3 linked regions of the Drosophila melanogaster genome follow. The protein of the gene in region 2 purifies or fractionates together with the protein of the main gene of each other region. This does not show direct contact. Each region holds a gene or a part of one and is shown on either strand. Other genes may lie near its edges.

Evidence for each region.
Region 1: the proteins of dally (region 2) and apolpp purify together in Drosophila melanogaster (affinity purification with western blotting; one study listed by BioGRID). This does not show direct contact.
Region 3: the proteins of dally (region 2) and cv-2 purify together in Drosophila melanogaster (affinity purification with western blotting, with the first as the bait; one study listed by BioGRID). This does not show direct contact.

Annotation. Positions count from the first base shown.
Region 1 is NC_004353.4:1,058,587-1,064,694, reverse strand, and holds the start of apolpp (apolipophorin), read right to left. Parts: upstream 3,727-6,108; 5' UTR 3,559-3,726; intron 2,018-3,558; exon of another isoform or gene 1,776-2,017; intron 451-1,775; exon of another isoform or gene 314-450; intron 1-313. Other genes in the region: Zyx (zyxin), read left to right, coding at 4,091-4,282, 4,859-5,276, 5,344-5,594. UniProt on the Drosophila melanogaster protein: Constitutes the major component of lipophorin, which mediates transport for various types of lipids in hemolymph. Acts by forming lipoprotein particles that bind lipoproteins and lipids.
Region 2 is NT_037436.4:8,824,800-8,831,130, forward strand, and holds the start of dally (division abnormally delayed), read left to right. Parts: upstream 1-2,705; 5' UTR 2,706-3,433; coding exon 3,434-3,704; intron 3,705-6,331. UniProt on the Drosophila melanogaster protein: Cell surface proteoglycan that bears heparan sulfate. Functions as a coreceptor for growth factors and morphogens, such as the products of dpp, to regulate signaling and distribution of these ligands.
Region 3 is NT_033778.4:21,375,739-21,381,787, forward strand, and holds the start of cv-2 (crossveinless 2), read right to left. Parts: upstream 3,727-6,049; 5' UTR 2,767-3,726; intron 1-2,766.

The DNA.
Region 1 (6,108 bases), on a different chromosome or scaffold from region 2:
TATAATCTCATTATAATCGGACTTCGACATACTCGACCCTAGCTTAGTACCTTTACCTACTCTCAATTTTCATCTAATACATAAGACAAAAATAAAATAAAGAATAATTAAATATAGATATAATTAAATAAAAATATATCGCTTTGCATAATACGTGCTCAACTTACAATGGCTGATATAAAATATAGAATATATAGAAAATGTAGACGCTATAGTACCATTTCCCGTCTTTCACCTACATTTTCTCGATATACCAGTGGAAAATGACCAGAAAAATAATAACATGAAAAAAAATCACAAAATTTTTTTTAAGTGTGGGCGTGACAGTGAGCGACGTAAAAATCGGTAGATTGTAAAATCTGATTGATAAATCTGACTGATAACAAAAATGCAAAATATCAAACATTTTTCAAAAGTGTGGGCACGGACGGACATGCCCAGATCGATTTGGTAAGAAATCCTGCTCAAGTTTATATATATATATATATACTTTACAGGGTCGTTTATGCTTGCTTCTAAACTTGGTTGTTTTGGGTGACCACCCCCTTCTGGCCATCCTACCAGACCTATTATACCCAATTAAGCATTTTAATTTACACTTCACCGCATTTTCTGGCAAGCCATATGTTACCAAAACCACCCACAGTCTCCATTAAAAATGTAACTTAAAAGCAAATATTGTTCGAATCACTCTATTACTTTAGTAGTACAAAATCCTTTCATCTACCTTTTCAATATTTTAAATATGGCTTTGGGCTAATAAAGTAATAAACAAATCGCAAATTACGTTTTCCTCTTAAAGGTGTTGAAAACTGTAAGAAATGCAAAGTATAATTGTGATTATAAATGTTGAAAACTGATATTTATATACTTGACAGTCTCAAAAGTGTGTAAACTTGGAATTTGTTGTTTATTTTCTTGTATAATTAATATTTTTAATTCGTTTTTTGATTCATAAGTAAAATAAATATTGATTAATTATATTTTAGAAAAAAATTGCGTTTAATTTAAGCAAAGAACCCTTAGTTTTTACCTTTAAAGTCAAAAATTCAACTTATTTCACAGTGTGTAAACAGTTTCTTGACAAACTGTATGTGCAAATAAGAAAACTAGTTGTAACTCTAAAGCAATTATGTTTTATGTATAGGTATTGAGAAATTCGATGTAACAATTGTTATCATTCCAAATTTAATGTGAATGCGCAAGTACACACATACATACATACATATATGCATTTGCAGAGATTGTCACTTGCAATCCATGTTTGCACACATCTGTAATGGAATTTGTTATACATTTTTATGCCCTTTTTTCATATAGATGAAAGTATGCTTACAAATGCAAGCATAGGTACATAGGTATTTAAAATATGCATACACATATTTACACATGTATATTTATTTGATTTTGAACAGATGTATAAAATATGTTTATATGAAAGTTCGTTCCTGAATTGCAGTTAACGACTGATAAGAAACTTTAATCTGTAATTAAAAGTTGCTGGAAAGCAAAACGCTGCTCGATAAGCACGCAGAAAGGCAGCCTGCGTGATCGGACAGAAAAAATTACAGTTCGAAAGAAGTTTACTCTTGTATTGTTCCCGGTTAGTAAATAAATCATCGTAAACGGAAGTCCACGCTTTGAAGATGATCACTAATAGTGCGTTGTGACAGCAGGAGACCACTGTTTAGAAGCGTAGAATAGGATGTCAGTTACGATTGTCTGATTACAACCATTTAAATCTTTTTTCTTTAACCATTAAAAAGTTAGATTACCGTGCCCACATTTTCTGAAAAGATTCCGCTGATGAATTGAGCTCTATGGCCGTACATATGTGAAGTGATTCCAAGTCAGCTTCCTTTTAAAAGTGCACCTTTCATGATAGATTTCCCATATTTAGGGTTTTTATACCACTTGACTAAAAAGGTATTTGATTAATTAATAATTATTTTGGCTCCTAATTATGTGGCTCCTTAGAAATCGGTCATTCCCCTATCCTTTACAATACTCCTCCACCGAGCTTAATTTCGCTTCGATTGGGCCAAACAATTAGACGATTGGGTGTGGTGTTCAAAAATATGGATATCGTTATGGTACTTATTTACAAGCAACTGTGGTTTGCAATCATTTTTATATTAACGAGGAACTTTATTCAATGAAATTAATATTTATATTCAGACCTCCACGGTATTTAATGTGAATTTCTTACATGAAGATAAGAAGAGAACAGAATTTTCTTCTTGAATATGAAGTAATATGACTTCGCATTTACATTTACATTTATTAGCAAATTAGCTGAACCAAATATCACGAAAAAATAAATTGAAAGAGCCGCACCAGATTTAATTTATTTTAAAATTCCTTTGTCTGGGAGAAGAACAAAAATGCAATTTCGGATGATGTTGAAACGAGATTTATTTCATAAAGTTAACTTATAAATATTTTTAATAACAGTGGTCGAGTGAGCGAATTTATCGGAAGCCACCTACATGACAGCCATTTGTTTTGTTTGGGCCCAAAGGAAATATTATAAAAATTTGAGTTAAAAATTTGTTCAGGGGTTTATCAATTATTGATCAGTTTCTGGAAAGCGGTGGAGTCGATATCGCCGTTCATCGTCTGTTTTGCCATCCGTTCGCTTCTACACAAACTTGTCTCACTAATTATCCCTGAATGAAACTTTCCCATAAAGTTTTCCAGTGACAGCTATAGTCAAGTTCCCCGACAGTCAGATATCCCTTACTCGACAAACGGAAGAGCAAAATATTTCCTTATTTATCGGCATTTCGATAAAAAATTAAAAAAAAAAATATTAATAAATAAATCGAAATATATCATAAATGTATTCGTGACGGATTGGAAAGGTGGCGTTGGGGTACATCGCTAGGCAAAATAAATTATATAATCCATGCAAATAAAATTATTCCTCAAAAGTGTGTGGGCGTGGGAGTTTTCGGAGGGTTTGTGGGGCGTGGCCAAAATGTTATTGGTTAACCGATAGAAATTAGAAAAATATATAATAAAAAAAACAAATATTTTTGAAAGGTATGGGTGTAGCAATTTTGTGCGGTTTGTACATCTGCGTTAGAGCGGGCATGAAAGCAAACTGGCTCTGCGCGTATGTCTCTGCAGTACGCATTCTTAATCTTAACTTTTTAGCTTATAGTTCCTGAGATCTATACGCTTACAGGGAAGGTCATACAGACTGACACTTTGAGACACATCTTATATAAGAGTGCACGTGTCCGATTGTTCGTTGGAGTGACTATACCTGCTAAAATAAACAAAATGTACACGTTACCCACTTGGGATTAGTTCGATTCTAGGACTTAGGTTAGAGGTGGAGAAACATCGATGTTGGTGGACATCGATGTTTTTGGCGAATTTTTCGTTGATATTTTAAGATTTATAAATAAAAATACATAACAATATTGTTTCAACGCACGGTTTAATGTTTATGTAATAATTAAAGTCCTTTGGCATGAATTTGTTCACACTCTATTCATTTATTCTATCGTACTAAAGTAGTCTCAATCAAACAATTAGTTCTCTCAATACCTTACATTGACTTATAGTCCGCCTATAATCAGATTAGGATTATTTTCTTTGATTGCCAAGGTGCCGTTTAGGCAAAACTACATATATATGTTTTATATGGATTTAGCTTCAATATCTCGCTTAAGTGTGTCTATGGTCTTATTAGCTTTCGAGATATAAAGCGATTGTACGAAGTGAGTACTACATATTTAATAAGTTCGAATACGAGCCTATGCGCCTAGAATGATTTTCTAGCTCTCGTGTTAAGGTCACACTGCTGGGCCTCATAAATTCGATAAGCGATAGTTTTATTTCCACTTAGTATTGAAATGTCAATAATTTTATAAAAATAATTGTTTTATACATATAGTAAAATTATATGCAGGTTAAAAACAAACCAAACTATCATCATTACAGGTGTAATTTCATTAATGTTAAGGAGTGAAAATATTAAATTAAAATTTCACGACTTTGAATGTTTGATTTAATTTAAATTAGAAAAAGGTTTTTATTATTGTTGTAGGAAAACGGAATCGCGTTTTGTTAAATTTCAATGGAGTCTGTGGCCCAGCAACTTAGAGAGCTGTCGCTTCCAAAAGGTGACACAGGCTCACCGCTTGTATGTATTGGACATGGAAAAGTTGCGAAGCTAGTCGCCAAGATAAGTAATAATCAAAATGCATCAGTAAAGAGGAGATTGGATATACCTCCTAAGCCGCCGATAAAATATAATGAAATGCCTCAGGTACATACATACTTTAGTATAGCCAGTTTGTGTTATATACAAAGCAATTCATTGATTCTCCTCAAAGGCTTGTTCTTTAAGCCTTAAAGTCCGTTATTGTACCGTTTTAGAGGGTATTTCCGTCCCTCTACAAAAGCATATGTAATATACTTATATATTATTGATCGGCTGGACTGTGAGCGAACATTTGCTACCATTCAGATGACAGAAATCAAAAACAAGTACAGACTAATGGATTGTTACACGACATATCAGGAGCAATTCATTAAAAAAAACATAATCAATTTTTAAGTAAATATTGTTTTAAGTATACATATGTAAATTTAGGGGATATTCTTAACTGTACCAGTACCTAAATATCTATCGCATGCCTTTTTCACTTCGGTAAAAACCAAACTGTGCAAACTGTGGCAATATTTAGAACTTTGCACAGCGTACAAAGTCATTAAAATCTGCATGTCACATCTTAGTTTTTATTTATAATACCCTTATTATACCCTGTATTATAAAAAGTTATTATTCTGAAAAACTGTGTATAATAACGTATACTTAAGCATAAATATTTATTTATTTCAGGTTCCATCAAGCAGACAGGTTTTGTGTTCGCGGGAACCACTATATTCACAACCTCTGATTGGAGTCGAGAAAACAATGAGGGGGCATATGCCTTTTAGAAAATACCTCAGCTCTGAATTCGGAGTTGCTGATACTCAAATAAACAGAAAAACAACTTTAGATAATCCGGCAATTTTGGAACAGCAATTAGAAGCTCTTGCTTACCATAAACTTCAAATGGAAAAAAAGGGTCTTTTGGGAGTACAAGCTAAGCCAACACAACCTCTCAACAGCTTTACAAAGCCCCTTTCAAAGACTTTAAGCAAAAGCTTAATATATTCTAATTTAGGTTCTGTTCGCAAAGAAATAGAAACATTAGAACTATTAACAGACGAAACTAAGATTTCTGCGAGTACATATTCAAACGTTAATGAAACTGGTATGTTTATGTAATGCTTATATAAAAATTGTATAGTATTAATTATAAAATAATTTAAATGTCAAAGCAATGGACTCTTCTCATAGCTCAACGCAAAAGATGCTATCCGTCTGCACTAATTTTATTTCAGACAACGAAAAAGATGAGTTACCGCCACCACCTAGTCCAGAGAGCGCTGTGAGTTCTTCATACAGTGAGCTTCGTCACGCCACTTTGGAATTCAACAAACCAATTGATTATTTACAAAATAACCAGACAACGAATCCTTTACAAATATATGCAAACCAATATGCGATGCAGCATGATGCCACAGGCAAGGTACACAAAATCTGAAGTTCATTACTCTGGAGTATATTTCTGTCTGATAAACAATCTTATTCATCTAATAGAAGTGCACGACAAAAATTAAGATATGCAATCAGCAAAGCTGAAGAATAATTAAATGACTTACGAACGTAGGCAGTTTTTTCCATTGAACTTTTAGTTAACTTGAAATATGTTAATGTATATACATTTATTAAAAAAAAAAAAACAATAAACAATAACTATTTCCACATTTAGAAAGAACTTTAAACGTTAAATAGATGGATTAACAACATTTTGTGGATTATGATGTACAAATGCATCTATTTCATTCGCTAGTCCGGCAGGTTTTATTGCCTATATTGTTCCCAAAATCAGAGTGGGCATACGTGCATGGGCAGATAGACTCGGCTAGTGTTCCTTTGCAACAAAAAAATATATACGATCGAAATCGATTCTTCATATATACATGTTACATACTTTTCACCGAATCTTTTATTCCTTTTTACGATTATAACTTCCAAATGAT
Region 2 (6,331 bases):
CGGGGGCATGGAATTTTCAAGACCCTGTTACTGCAAGTGCCGCCCAGGTCTTTTAAAATATAAGAAGACGAGGCTGGCATTCAAATCTCTGCCCCCAGCTCGATGACTTCACACATTCCACAGCGAACGAGAGGGGTGTGGGATCGAAGAACTTCCTTGAAAACCCCCGTCTAAGCCAAGTGAAGAACTTAAACGTCGAACCAGTTTTTGGTGAATGAAAAGCCAGCAAGCCCAAAGTTGCACACAAACTCCAAACTCAAAGCAGAAGAAACCCGAAGCGAAGTACCAGAAAAGGGGGGCCCCCACTGAAAAGGGGCAGCCTGGCAGCTAAAATATAATAAAAAGAAATTAAAATAAAATTCAAAAATGTGCAAAACGAGACCGAGAACGAGAAATGCTGCATGCCAGTCTTCGGGCATGAGGGAGCGGTACTGGAGAAGAATCTCCGTGGAACCTGTTGGACCAGTCACACACACAGGCAGGCACACCAACAACCGAATGCCACCAACGTGTTTGTGCCAGGATAAAAGGCAAGCCGGGTCGCTCCATGGGTATATATATCCATCTCTTTTCGACCCGCTCCGGAGGATTTCAAGTGTAAAACGCTGTCGCTTGTGGAATGCGCGCACACACACAAACACAAGCGGATACAACTGCATAGATAGCCCAACATTTGGCCATATTTTGCTGCACTAAATCAAGCGTTTAAACGAAATTCGAGTTGGGCCAACAAGCCAACGAGCCGAGCTAAAAGCGTTCATATTTTCCCGATCGCCAAAAAGAAGCACCATAATTTATAGATGCCGTTTGACTAAATTCGTTTAATTCCAGTCCTACCTTTACCCACACACCTATATAATATATATGCCTACGGTTTACCTGTGCGATACAAAAATAAGGAGGAAAAAAAAACGGAAAATAAGGCGAGAGAGCGAGAAGTAAAAGGGTTTTGGTTTTGGTTTCGGTTTCGGTTTCTTTGGGACCTTCGCTCTCATCGATCGTTCCGTAGTGTACATTATAATTTATAACTTTATCTAAACGATGTGGTGGTGTTTAATTTTCGACCTCACCTTTTCCAGCTCGTTTTTGTTTTTTGTTGCCGTTTCGCCATCCCATCACCATCATCATCATCATCATCATCACGGTTGTTTCTGATGTGGATTCGTTTCATTGGAGAACTGTTTCCGCTTCGCATGACTCACTTTTCGCTGTTTGCCCCGGGGTCTTGAGTCTTCTCCTTTTTTTTTTCTTATTTTTTGGGAGGTCTTTCTTTATCGCACACTAATTTGAATAGGATTCCATTTCGTGATGAACATATCACCGGGAACGGAAAACATCCATGGGGGGTGGGAGGGCGTTTGCGCCCAGCTGGACGCCCGCAACTGACCACCATGAAGTTCCCGCTGCCCTGGCTATATAGTATCTTGTTAATGAAGAAATAGATACACAGACGCCCCGAGACGCCTAGGTATTTAAGATCGAGGTCGGTGCCCGCGGGGTGACGAGTGAAAGTCCGGGGAGAAGAGGCTGGTGTGTTCGGGTCGTGCATTGTCTGCCACACCGCTGCAGCCTCAAGACAATCGCTTCGTTTTCGCAAATTGCAAAGGGAAAAAATTAACAAAAGAAAAGAAATGAAGAAAAAAAAACAAACGATACCACCACACGTGCTGTGCGAGGTCATGACACGGCTATCAATTTGAACAGAAACATTTAGCCCTAGGGAAATAGCTGCCAAGCATCTGAGACTCTTCAAAGGCGTGAAATCTGAGCCTGCTCCACGGGTTCATCAAGCCGATCGTAAAACATAGCCTATGAAATAAAATTAGAACTCATTCAGACATCAATTAGAACCGAGCATGCAAATTTCAACCAGCGGCATCGATAAAAGCCCGGATTAAAAGCCACCGGAGCACCCGAGAAGACCACTGTGAGATGGATTGATTTACGTTGAATATGCAAATTGCAGCGAGCCAACGTTGAAAGCTTTTAGAAGAGCATTTCGAGAATTTGAATAAATATTTAGGCCCATCGGACACAGAGAAAAATAATCAGAATCAAGCCAGCTCCTGTGGCAGATGACACGGCCAGGGAAAACTCGAAGTTGGTCCTGAAGAATGCCGGAACCCATAAATAAATGCGAATCACTATTGAAATATATAAAACGAAAACAGGATATGTGTCATATCAAATTTTATGGAACTACGTAGATTCATTGGCTGTCGAAATCGTTTGGCAATCATCGAAGAGAATAGATATCTTACGAAAGCTAAGCTTGCGTTACTAACTTTAATTTCCCCTTTTACTCATACTACATGCTGTTAATAAATACAACATCTTATAAATTGTGGTTGGGCATTCCTTAATTAAAATACTTTATAATATCTAATAAGCATTACAAAGTTTGTGGTTTAGTTCGAAGCTCGTTTTCCAAAACTCTAAAGACTCAAATTAATTAATTCATTTCAGATTGCGCCCTTGTATTACTCATGTATTCTCGGCGTTAACCTGTGAATTAAATTGAGTTCGCATAAACACCTCTATTCATTGCACCACTGTGCCAACATCTGTGCTCGCCGTTCTCTTTTGTTCGAAAGAGAGCGTTCGGATGGTTCTCTTAGCGCCGATTGTCGAGTGCCGAGTGTGGTTCGTGTTCGCATCGTTAAAGTTGTAGCACTCAGGGCGGATGTTTGATTTCGATGGCAAAGTCAATCTGTTCGGGTTTCTCGTCGTGGAAGGTTCGTTGCGCGCGCGGAAAAACTGAAAATATCGGTGCGAAATTCGAGCGGAAAAACGCTAGAAAAGAAGGCGAGTGCATTTCCTCGACCTGAGAACGCCGGTGGCCAAGGAGCTTTGCAATTAAATCTATTTTCGCCGACCTAAGTACACAAAACGTAGGAGAAAATTAAAAAGAAGAAAAAAAAAACAAATCTAATCGCTGGCAAATCAATTGCTAAGGAATTGAGTACTATTCGTTGTTATGTCATGGAAAGTCTCTGAATAAGTTAAGAAAATACTTGTGAGAAATTTAGCGACCTTTCAAAACTAGAAAGTAGAAAAGCAAAAAGTGCTAGACACGCGCTCTCTCTTCGACCACCACCCACCACCACCCACTATCGCCATCCCACGTTTACTACCACGTTTATTGCTCACGCGTGTTTTTGGGGCCTTTTGTTTTGTGCGCTCGTGTTTGTGGCCGTGTGTGCCAGTGTGTGTGTGTGCGTGTTAGCCGGCAAGTGCATTTGTGTGAGTGTGTGTGTTTGTTGCCGCGAACAGCTGTTCACCCAGACAGCATGCAGAAGTAAATACGAAGAAGTGCTGCAAAATAGAGTAAATAAAATAACCGGCTAAAATAAAAATAAGAGAAGCATTCAAAGGCAAATCAAATTTAGCCCCATCATCCACTGTGTCTGCACACAGAAATCACCCATCAAAAATGGCGGCCAGGAGCGTGCGGCTAGCGCAGCTTTTGCTATTTACCCTGCTCTGCGGCTTCGTCGGCCTGTCAGCCGCCAAGCACCTGGACCTGGATGGTATCCACCACCACCAGCACCACCTGCACAGCGCCACCACGCACCACAGACGTCGCCTACAGCGGGACTCGCGGGCGAAGGACGCCGTTGGGGGATCGACCCACCAGTGTGATGCCGTCAAGAGCTACTTCGAATCGATCGACATCAAGTCGAGTGGGACTTACAGCGAAAAAGGTAAAGTTCACGCCATCCATCCGTAGAGTTATAATATCGAGTATGCACTTGGACATGCGGGCTGGGGAAGAAGCGGGGAACGATGGAGGAAGTTAAAGCTACCAATATGGTTAAGGCCCCTTAGGAGCAAACGTACTAACTTTAAACTATGCAGAGGAAAACGTATGTTATTTCCCCAGGTCACTAGAGTGGTTCGAATACTTAAAGTCTAAGTTATCTACTCCATTAAATAAGAAAGAGGTACATAAATTGGGATTATTGATAATGGTTTTTCAATTTAATTACTTTTGCATCCTCTCCGTTTAAAAACATTTCTTTTGCGGGAAATTCATTGCCTTGATTTCAGAGTTTGTCTTAACCCTCGCCTCGCCATCAGTCTTCCATACTTCAACCAAGTAAATCGCGCGTCAGCCAAAGTTTTTGCCATCCCGCAGCTGCAGTTTCTCTTATTTCTAGTCCGTTCTAGACCCCATCCGCTTCTCAATCCCCGCCAGAAACTAGAAGCATATGCAAATTCATTGAACTGAGTGAAACCCTCGAGCGGGCAGCCACTCGAGGCGAACTATGACCACTCGAACAGCCGGGCGCCGTTTGCAATTAGAAGATTGCGCATTGAGCAACGCCTCGGAAAAGTTTTCGACGTGCCGTGGATAAAGTTTTTGGCCGCGCCAGGTTCATTACATATCGGATCTGGCACCTCGCAGATGCAGAGATACATAGATACACAGGCGGCGGCATCATTTGTTATTCTGATTTCTCGACACTGCCATATCAAGTGGCACGCATCTGAGGCCAAACTGTGTGAAGGCTATGGAAGGTATATTTATATTTACCACAGCCGATATCCACAAGATACTCGACATATTTTTGTTTATGCATATTTCATACCCGAAGTCAAAAATAAGACCGAATAACCAAATAATGCAATACAATCCGATAATATCAGTCGAAAACGAGCGAATGTACCCAATATATATCTGTTTCGTGTAATTGAGTGAAAAATAATTATTATTGATTAGCCGACCTTGACTTGGTATTTACGCGTTTACGCACAATTACATGATACACAGCCGCAAACTCGACTGGAATACAAATGTATCTGGCGATGATGTTGCAACTTTTCCCTCCAATGCTTACCTGTCTGCAGAGGTTCTCGGTTCTCTTTGCTCATTCTGTTCAGTCGTTCCCACACGCAGGTAGTTAACGCCAAGAAGAACTATCTATGAGATACATTGCTGAGCAGACCGCATTGCCATGGCATCAAAGTGTGAAGAACCGAATAGCCAACCGAGAGTTGGCGTTACAAGTGCATGTTTGTGTGTCCCAGAGACTTATCCACCTGAATGCCAGAATGCCCAATTGAACTGGTAGCTGGAAGTTATTAGCGCTGGCTTTGAGGAATTTCAATTTGGCTAATGCCAGGCGGCGTATCTCCGATCAGCACCTATGTATGTATCTCTGTATCTCTGGTCGTTGCTCCTGCTTAAGTATGCCGAACCTTGTTTTCGACATTTATTTACTGTTTACATAGTTCCACTTGCGCCTGCCTCCGCCTCCGTAGAATTTATGCCCCGCCAATGTATCTATGTATATCTGTTAATGTATCTGTATCCGTACAGTACGTATCCGTATCTCCATCTATATCTCTTTCTGTTTGCTCTGGAGTGTGTTACTTTTACGTTTATGTGCTGTTTGTGATGCTAATCTCTCGTCGGTGCCATGCATACGATATGTTTCTCCCGATTTGCTTTTGCCGTGCAGTTCCCGGTAGAGGCGCTCGGCATAAAACTAAATTTTAATTTAATTGCGCACACCACTCGACTGCTAATTGAGTTGGCTTTGCTTTTGGGCCAAAAAAAAAAAACAGTATTACTCCGTGCCTATTAAAATGAACATTAACATTGGCGCGTTACAAAGACGCACAGGAAGTCGTAGCTGCAGTATCTAATCGTATCGCACAGTATCTGTATCTGTTTACCTGCAAGTATCTGTAGTATCTGTATCTATGCTTAAGGCATAGCAGTTCCAATGCCCCCGACCGTGTTACTAAATATTTAAGCAACTCGCAACAGAAATTAGAGCAAGCCATGAGATATGAGCCCATGTATCCGCGTATCTCCTCCGCCGGCAAGTGTTTGTGTGCCGCCTGGCTAGATAAGTGAAAAGTGCAAATAGAGAAGGCAAAGGCAAACGTGACTCGTTTGGAGCGGGGAAAACTGCTTAGCAGACAACTTTTCAAACGGATTCCATTTCCCTGACATGTACGTAGGTATGCATACCTGCAGTTTGGGTGCGTGGGCCTACGCTTATGCTTTTGCCATCAAAGGAGCTCATCCTCGAGTAAAAATTTTAATTAACTAGAGAACTGCGCATATGCCCCAATCCCATACCCAAATCATTAGTGGTTAGAGGAAGAGCAGCACAGCTCACTATCGCTCGGCACTGCCAATTAAAAGTTGAAGTTCCATTCCATGTGAGATGGCAAATGGCATAGAACTCCACTTAAGGCTTAACTGCCAACATAAATGTGCCAAATTTCGACTAAGCGAAATTCGTCAAAAAGTAGCAAAACCCATCAAGCTGAACCAAAAACGATCCATAACACTTATGTCGCGACGATCGTAAAG
Region 3 (6,049 bases), on a different chromosome or scaffold from region 2:
CGGAGCGGGCAGGAGGAGGAGGGGAGGGGGGCATACATGGGTGGCGAGGGGTGTCTCCTATATCGTCTGGCGCTTGGCGACAGCAATTTACCTTTAAGCGAATGCAAAAGTATGCGGAGAGCCGAAGAACAAGCGGCGGAAAAAGTAGTCGCAGCCGCACACAATTACCCCACTAGAAGAATTCTTCGTAGAACGGGAATCGGGAGCGGAGAGCGGGGATTGGGGAATGGGAAATGGGTTCTCTATAGCTGGACCATCTCTATAAATAAGTTAAAAGTCGCTGGCCGAACCAGCTGCACCATAAATCATAAGCAGACGCGCGAGTGTCGAGTTATTATGCGATCATATTTTAATTGGTGGATTATTATTATGCAGGCAGTGTTGCAGACCGCAGTCCCCCCCCCTTCACCCCCTCGACAGCATAATCAAGTGCAGCAAACAAACAAACAAAAACACCTGCAAAGACACCAGTTGCACTGGCTGCTCACCTCTCCAGGTGAGCGTGCGGATTGCAGATCGCTCGCCTCGAGAGTCCCGTGTGTGGAGCAGAACCGAATCCCCCCAAGATTGTGGACCGCAGATCGGGGATCGCAGACCGCCTGGCTCTGCTGTGCTTGGACAGGTGCGTGAACGTGGCCAGCGGGAGCGAGAAAGAGTCGCAACCCGAATCGTACCCTAACGTATCCGAACAGGGAGTACCCTGGAAAGCACGCTCTTCTAAGTCCTTTAGAATCTGAATACATGTATTACTTAAAGGATCTAAGATAACGCAGATCAAATTAAATTGGAAAATAAATCATTTTAAGTTTCGCTTTTCTGTGGGCAAGTTACTAGAGTTAGTAAGTTAGTTATCATGCCTTTCTCAACCCCAAAAGATTCACTCCATCCAAAGGACTTTCTAACTTCAAAACTTGTAAAAACTACTTTCTGCCCATCTTCATTCAAGAGTTCCCCAACTCGTGCTAAGCAAACAACATCATCCACTTCAATTACCCTTGATCCAAGGGTATAAACACATAGTTTTTTTTTTAAACCAAATTCACATGCAGTTCGTAGTTGTAGTTGCAGTTGTTATTGTTGATGTTGATGTTGGTCGGTGGACAGAAGGGGCAAACGAGTTGGCCCCGCCGCCTGTGTATGCCAGTTGTCAGTTGGCAAAACTGGTATGGTTGCATTTTTATTATAAAGCGAACAGAAACAACAACAAAAAGCGACACCTAGGCAGTACGGGAAAGTCCGTCCGTTTGTCTCTGCCACTGCAAGTCAGGGATCGGAGGATAGGGGATTGGTTTGGATAGCTCAAGGATGGGAGGCTTGGGGACGCCGAATGGGAATGGGAATAGGAATGGGGACTGTCATCCATGGGCTGGTGTGTCGCCAGTTTAGCCCAGTACGCGAACTGCTAGTCAGACGTCTGTTCTATGGACGTTTCATGGACATACCGGCGCACATTCGTATTAACCCATGTAGCTTTGGCTTACTACCTGCCCCGCCCCCAAACGTATCCCAATCCCAATTGCAGTCCCCCCTGCAAAGAGCAGTTATTACCAGTGTTATTTACACAGAGATAAATGAAGAATGTGACGAAAGAAAATACGTTAAAACTAGCAAGATATTAGCAATCAAAGATACAGTATGTTGTATTCAAAATACGAAACAATGGTAATACATTTGATAAAACAGATATAAATTTGAACAGAAGTACTTGGATGCATTGAAAATGCTTAAATAATATTTCTTTCCGTGCATACTTTATTGGCTCTTATGTTTGCGTTTCGGTTTGTGTCTCCATTGCCCCAGCAGTCGTAATTTGTTTTGGTGTCCTTCTGCCAGACTGTCCTCCTAATGAGCCAGTTTATTGTATTTCCTATTTGTGGCCCCGTCCACCAAGCGATGACACTTTTTATGGCTCGATGAGGGTAATACAGGAAATGGCCTGCGATTAGCTTAGTGACAATTCTCGCTGCAATTGAAGTTTCAGCTGCAGTTGCAGTTGCAGCAGCAGCTGCTGCAGTGATTTATCATCTTTGCAGCCTGACAGTTGGCCAGCTTATATATCTATATATCACCTGGTGATATTTGACACATCGTTACTAATTGGTTAAACAATATGTATCACCGCTGACTCATGCCCGGCAATAGATAAGGTGTTTTGTGCTCATGCACCCGATCTGCGGCACTTTGTTTAATCGCTCACTTAGTTGGTAGCTGTTAAGCGGCTTAAAGTCGTTCTACACACTCGAAATGCTCACTTAGAACGCCTCAATGGTTTTCGAATTGGATTTATTAAGCCCAAACCAAATGGCTGTCGGGCAATTAAAGCCAACTATGATTTCCGCCTTTACAAAATGCTATGCAAATGTTCTCAATTAAATGCTGGCCCGGACACTCAAACATATGTTTGCTTATTCGCAATTTGATCGGCTTTTGATTTCGAATTTACAACTTTTAATGCTTGGCAGTAATCAATTCGAAGGAAATCAAGAGAGAGAGGCGAGAGCGAGTGCCAAATGTGATAATAGAAACCAAACAATTAAACAATTTTCGCAAAATGTTGAAACAACAAAGGCAGATAGCACACACGTTCGCAGATACACACAGATAAGTGAAATGTTTATATGTTTCGCATTATAATAAAACAAAATCGCACTTGGCATTATAGCAACAAAGAATCGGGGAATCTCCGGATCAGGGAATCGGGGAATCGCGGAATCAGGGAGAGGCAAAGATTAATTACAAAGGAAAAAGTAAAGACGCAAAGTTTACCCGTAATTACACTTCCAGATTTCCAGATGAGGTGCTTCTACTGCTGCTGCTGCTGCTGCTGGTGGCAAGAAATCGGCGGAATCGAAAATTAATTATGCTTGACATGTTGCCAGCGATCATCAGTTCGCCTCTTGTTCTTGCTGTTATTGTTGTCGTCTAGTTGTTGCTGTTGTTGCTGCCACTCGAACCGATATAAATCGCATTTTCAATTGCCTGGGCTTGGGTCTATTTTTTATTTGTATTATTTTTTACGTATGTATGTATTTCTACGCGAAAAAGAGAGGCCACACCGCGTTTGGAAAGAGACGAAGCACTTAGAACTCACTGGCGCATAATTTATTTGAGCCGGCGCGCGCCTTTCATTTCAATTCCCATTTCCATTTCGATTTACATTTGCATTTCAATTTCAATTTGATTGCGAGTACTTCGATTCGCTTGCCACAGATTACGCATACGCCACGTTGTGTGCGCGCTTGTCCGTCGACGCTGTCAAAGGTTCAATTTCGCGCCGTGCCGCAATTGCAATAAGCATTCAATTCAATGCAATTCAATGAAATTGCGCGCCAATTCGCCGGACCCACTGGAAAACGCTGCTAGCCAGTGTTAGTGGAAAACGACGCATTAGCGCACGCAGAAAATCAGAAAAACAGAAAATCGCACAAGTCTGAATATCAGAAATTCAAGCTAAGCCCCGCATTAAGATTCAGTCGCGTTGATAACAAACTTCAAATTCGTTTATGTTGTTTTCTATTTGAATTGCGTTCGGACTACGTATTTTATAGTAATTACGCTCCACCAGCGATCGTTGTCTCGTGTGAATCGGCGAACGTGAAAATCGCGCGCGAGTTTTCCCCTTTTACGGCTGATAGATTTTCCTGGCCAGCAATTTACAATTTCGAGCCACTCTCGAGCGCTTCTGGAAAACCGCACCGCTCGCGTGCGCAGCTAAAGTTGAACTGAGCACTGCAAGCGGAAAAAACGCTGAGAACACTGAGAAAACGCTCGTCTGCGTTCGGGCTGGCCTTCGTGTCGGTGTCGCCGAGCCGAGCCGAGCCGAAGGCGAAGCAGCGCAGCAGCAGAGGATTGGGGCCTCGTTTTTGGGGGCTCGCACTTTGCTGCGATTTTTTAGCGATAAGGGGACTTTTCTGGTGTTGTTGTACAAACGCTAGTTGCCTTCTAAAGTTTTGAACTAATTGTTATGCTTATAGTGATTCCTTAAAAACAAAATACTAGTAAAATATGTTTATAATATTTCATTGTCTACGATAATTTTGAGATAATCTAGATTTTATAGAGATAGTATAGCCCTAAAAAGTTAACAGTCAATGTCTACTAAATTAAACATGTCGTAACATGTTTGAGATGTTAAGATATTCATATCCAACTGTACCCAAATTTCAGGGCTGCCGACTTCAAAGGCGCACTCTTCACGAATTGCAATTGAAATCGAATTTCAATCTACATTCACACATTCCTAAGCGAAATGAACACCTCGACGATGGCAAAGTGTTAACAGGGCGAACATGAGAAGCGACCCCCCCCCCCCCCTGCGCATTGGGTGGGAAATCAACACACCTTAGTAGTCGCATGGTAGGCAAATCAATTCAATGCGATTCGTTTCGATTCAATTCCGGGAACTTTTGCCAATTAGAATTTGTCAACTGGCATTCCGCGCTGTCTGCCTCGACTTCTTTGTTTTGATAGTTCACGGAGGTATTTTCCCGTCTGATAAAGGCATTATTCGGCCGTAGTATCAATTCGATTGCTTTCCACTCGAACCATGAATGAATTGAAGTTCAAAAGCCTGCTGATTAGATCAGTGTGTGTCAGGTGGAATTGAATGACTTTGCAGTCAGGTGAAATTATCACCAGAATGGCATGTACATATGATAGTGTAAACTTGAAAATAAGGTGCTATAAATGACAAGGAATTTCACAATCCATACCAATAGCAATGAATCATTGCAAGTAATAAAAATTTTTTAAGCTAACTAAACTAACCAAAGGCGTGGGCTAAGTTCTAGCTAAGTTACCTGGGAGCTCTTTAGTTTTAGTTGCACTATAAATCGTAAGCAGCAGTTCTTTCCCACAATGAATGAATGAATCCATTCATTATGATCCCCAAAGCCGACGTGACTGCAATCCGAATTGTGTCTTATGGTATTTGTCTCGAATGCGATAATAGCACTTAAAGCTCTTAAATGCATTTGGCAGATGATGAGACAGAGACGGTGGTACAAATGGTGGCGAGTTTTCGAGACCCTGGGATAATTCACACTTAACCCGCAGCCAAATCAAACTGCCAGCCATTTGACATTTATGCGATGGCCTTTTTTTGCATGTTTTTCTTTTTTGTTTTTTTGGAAAAGCTGCCGCGGCACGCTAGGAAAATGCCACGGAGTTGCAGCTGAGCTGGAGATGATTTATGCACTCATTGTATCTGTAGTTGTGGCTGGAAAATTGCAGTTATCACGAACGAAGCTCGGTTTGGATTATGCTTCGGTTTCAGCTTTGCTTATGCTCTTGGTTTCAGCTTTGGATTTGGAGATAGAGATGGAGTTTCCCAGGCCATGGATTTTGTCACTGGAGGTTGCCTAGTCATTATTTATGAGGCGAACGGTGCAATATGCAGCCAGGTGGGAACCGTGACGCAGTCTGTAAAATTAAATAATTGCGTTTCATTAAATGCCGTTTGCTATTTGCATAGGTTCCCCCCGCATTGCAAACAAAGTGCAAAGCAATTTGGCATAAACGTCATCGGGTCGAATTGCTTAGTGTTTGGGTGGATGGGGAGGTAGACGGTGGGCGGTGGGCAGTGGGCGGTGGTTGGAAATCTGAGAATCCCGCCCCACAATTTTCCACGCCACTTGAGCGTAATTAAGCGTTGAGCTTCTAAGCCCTAAGCAAATAGGCAAGCCGTCGAGCGTCTCCAGCCCCAAAACCACCCCCCACATTTGGTGCGATTATCCACAGCCTATATGCTATATATATACGATTGCGAAGCAGTTTGCGCAGCGAATCGATGCTATTTTGATACTGGTAAATATTTGCAATTGGCCAATAAGTGACTCGGTCGCTGTTGTGCTGGCTATTTCGGGATGAGCGTCAGGTGAGAATAATCCCAATTCCAATAGCCCAAGCTCGACCGAAGTTGTGAAATAGTTTGCACCCAGTCAAAGAGTCAACAATCTATGGGGGATCTGGTCGATCTGGGCATTTTCCATAAAGTTATCACGCGCACATCGAAAACCAACAGCCTGCTCACAAACAAGCTGCTCAAATT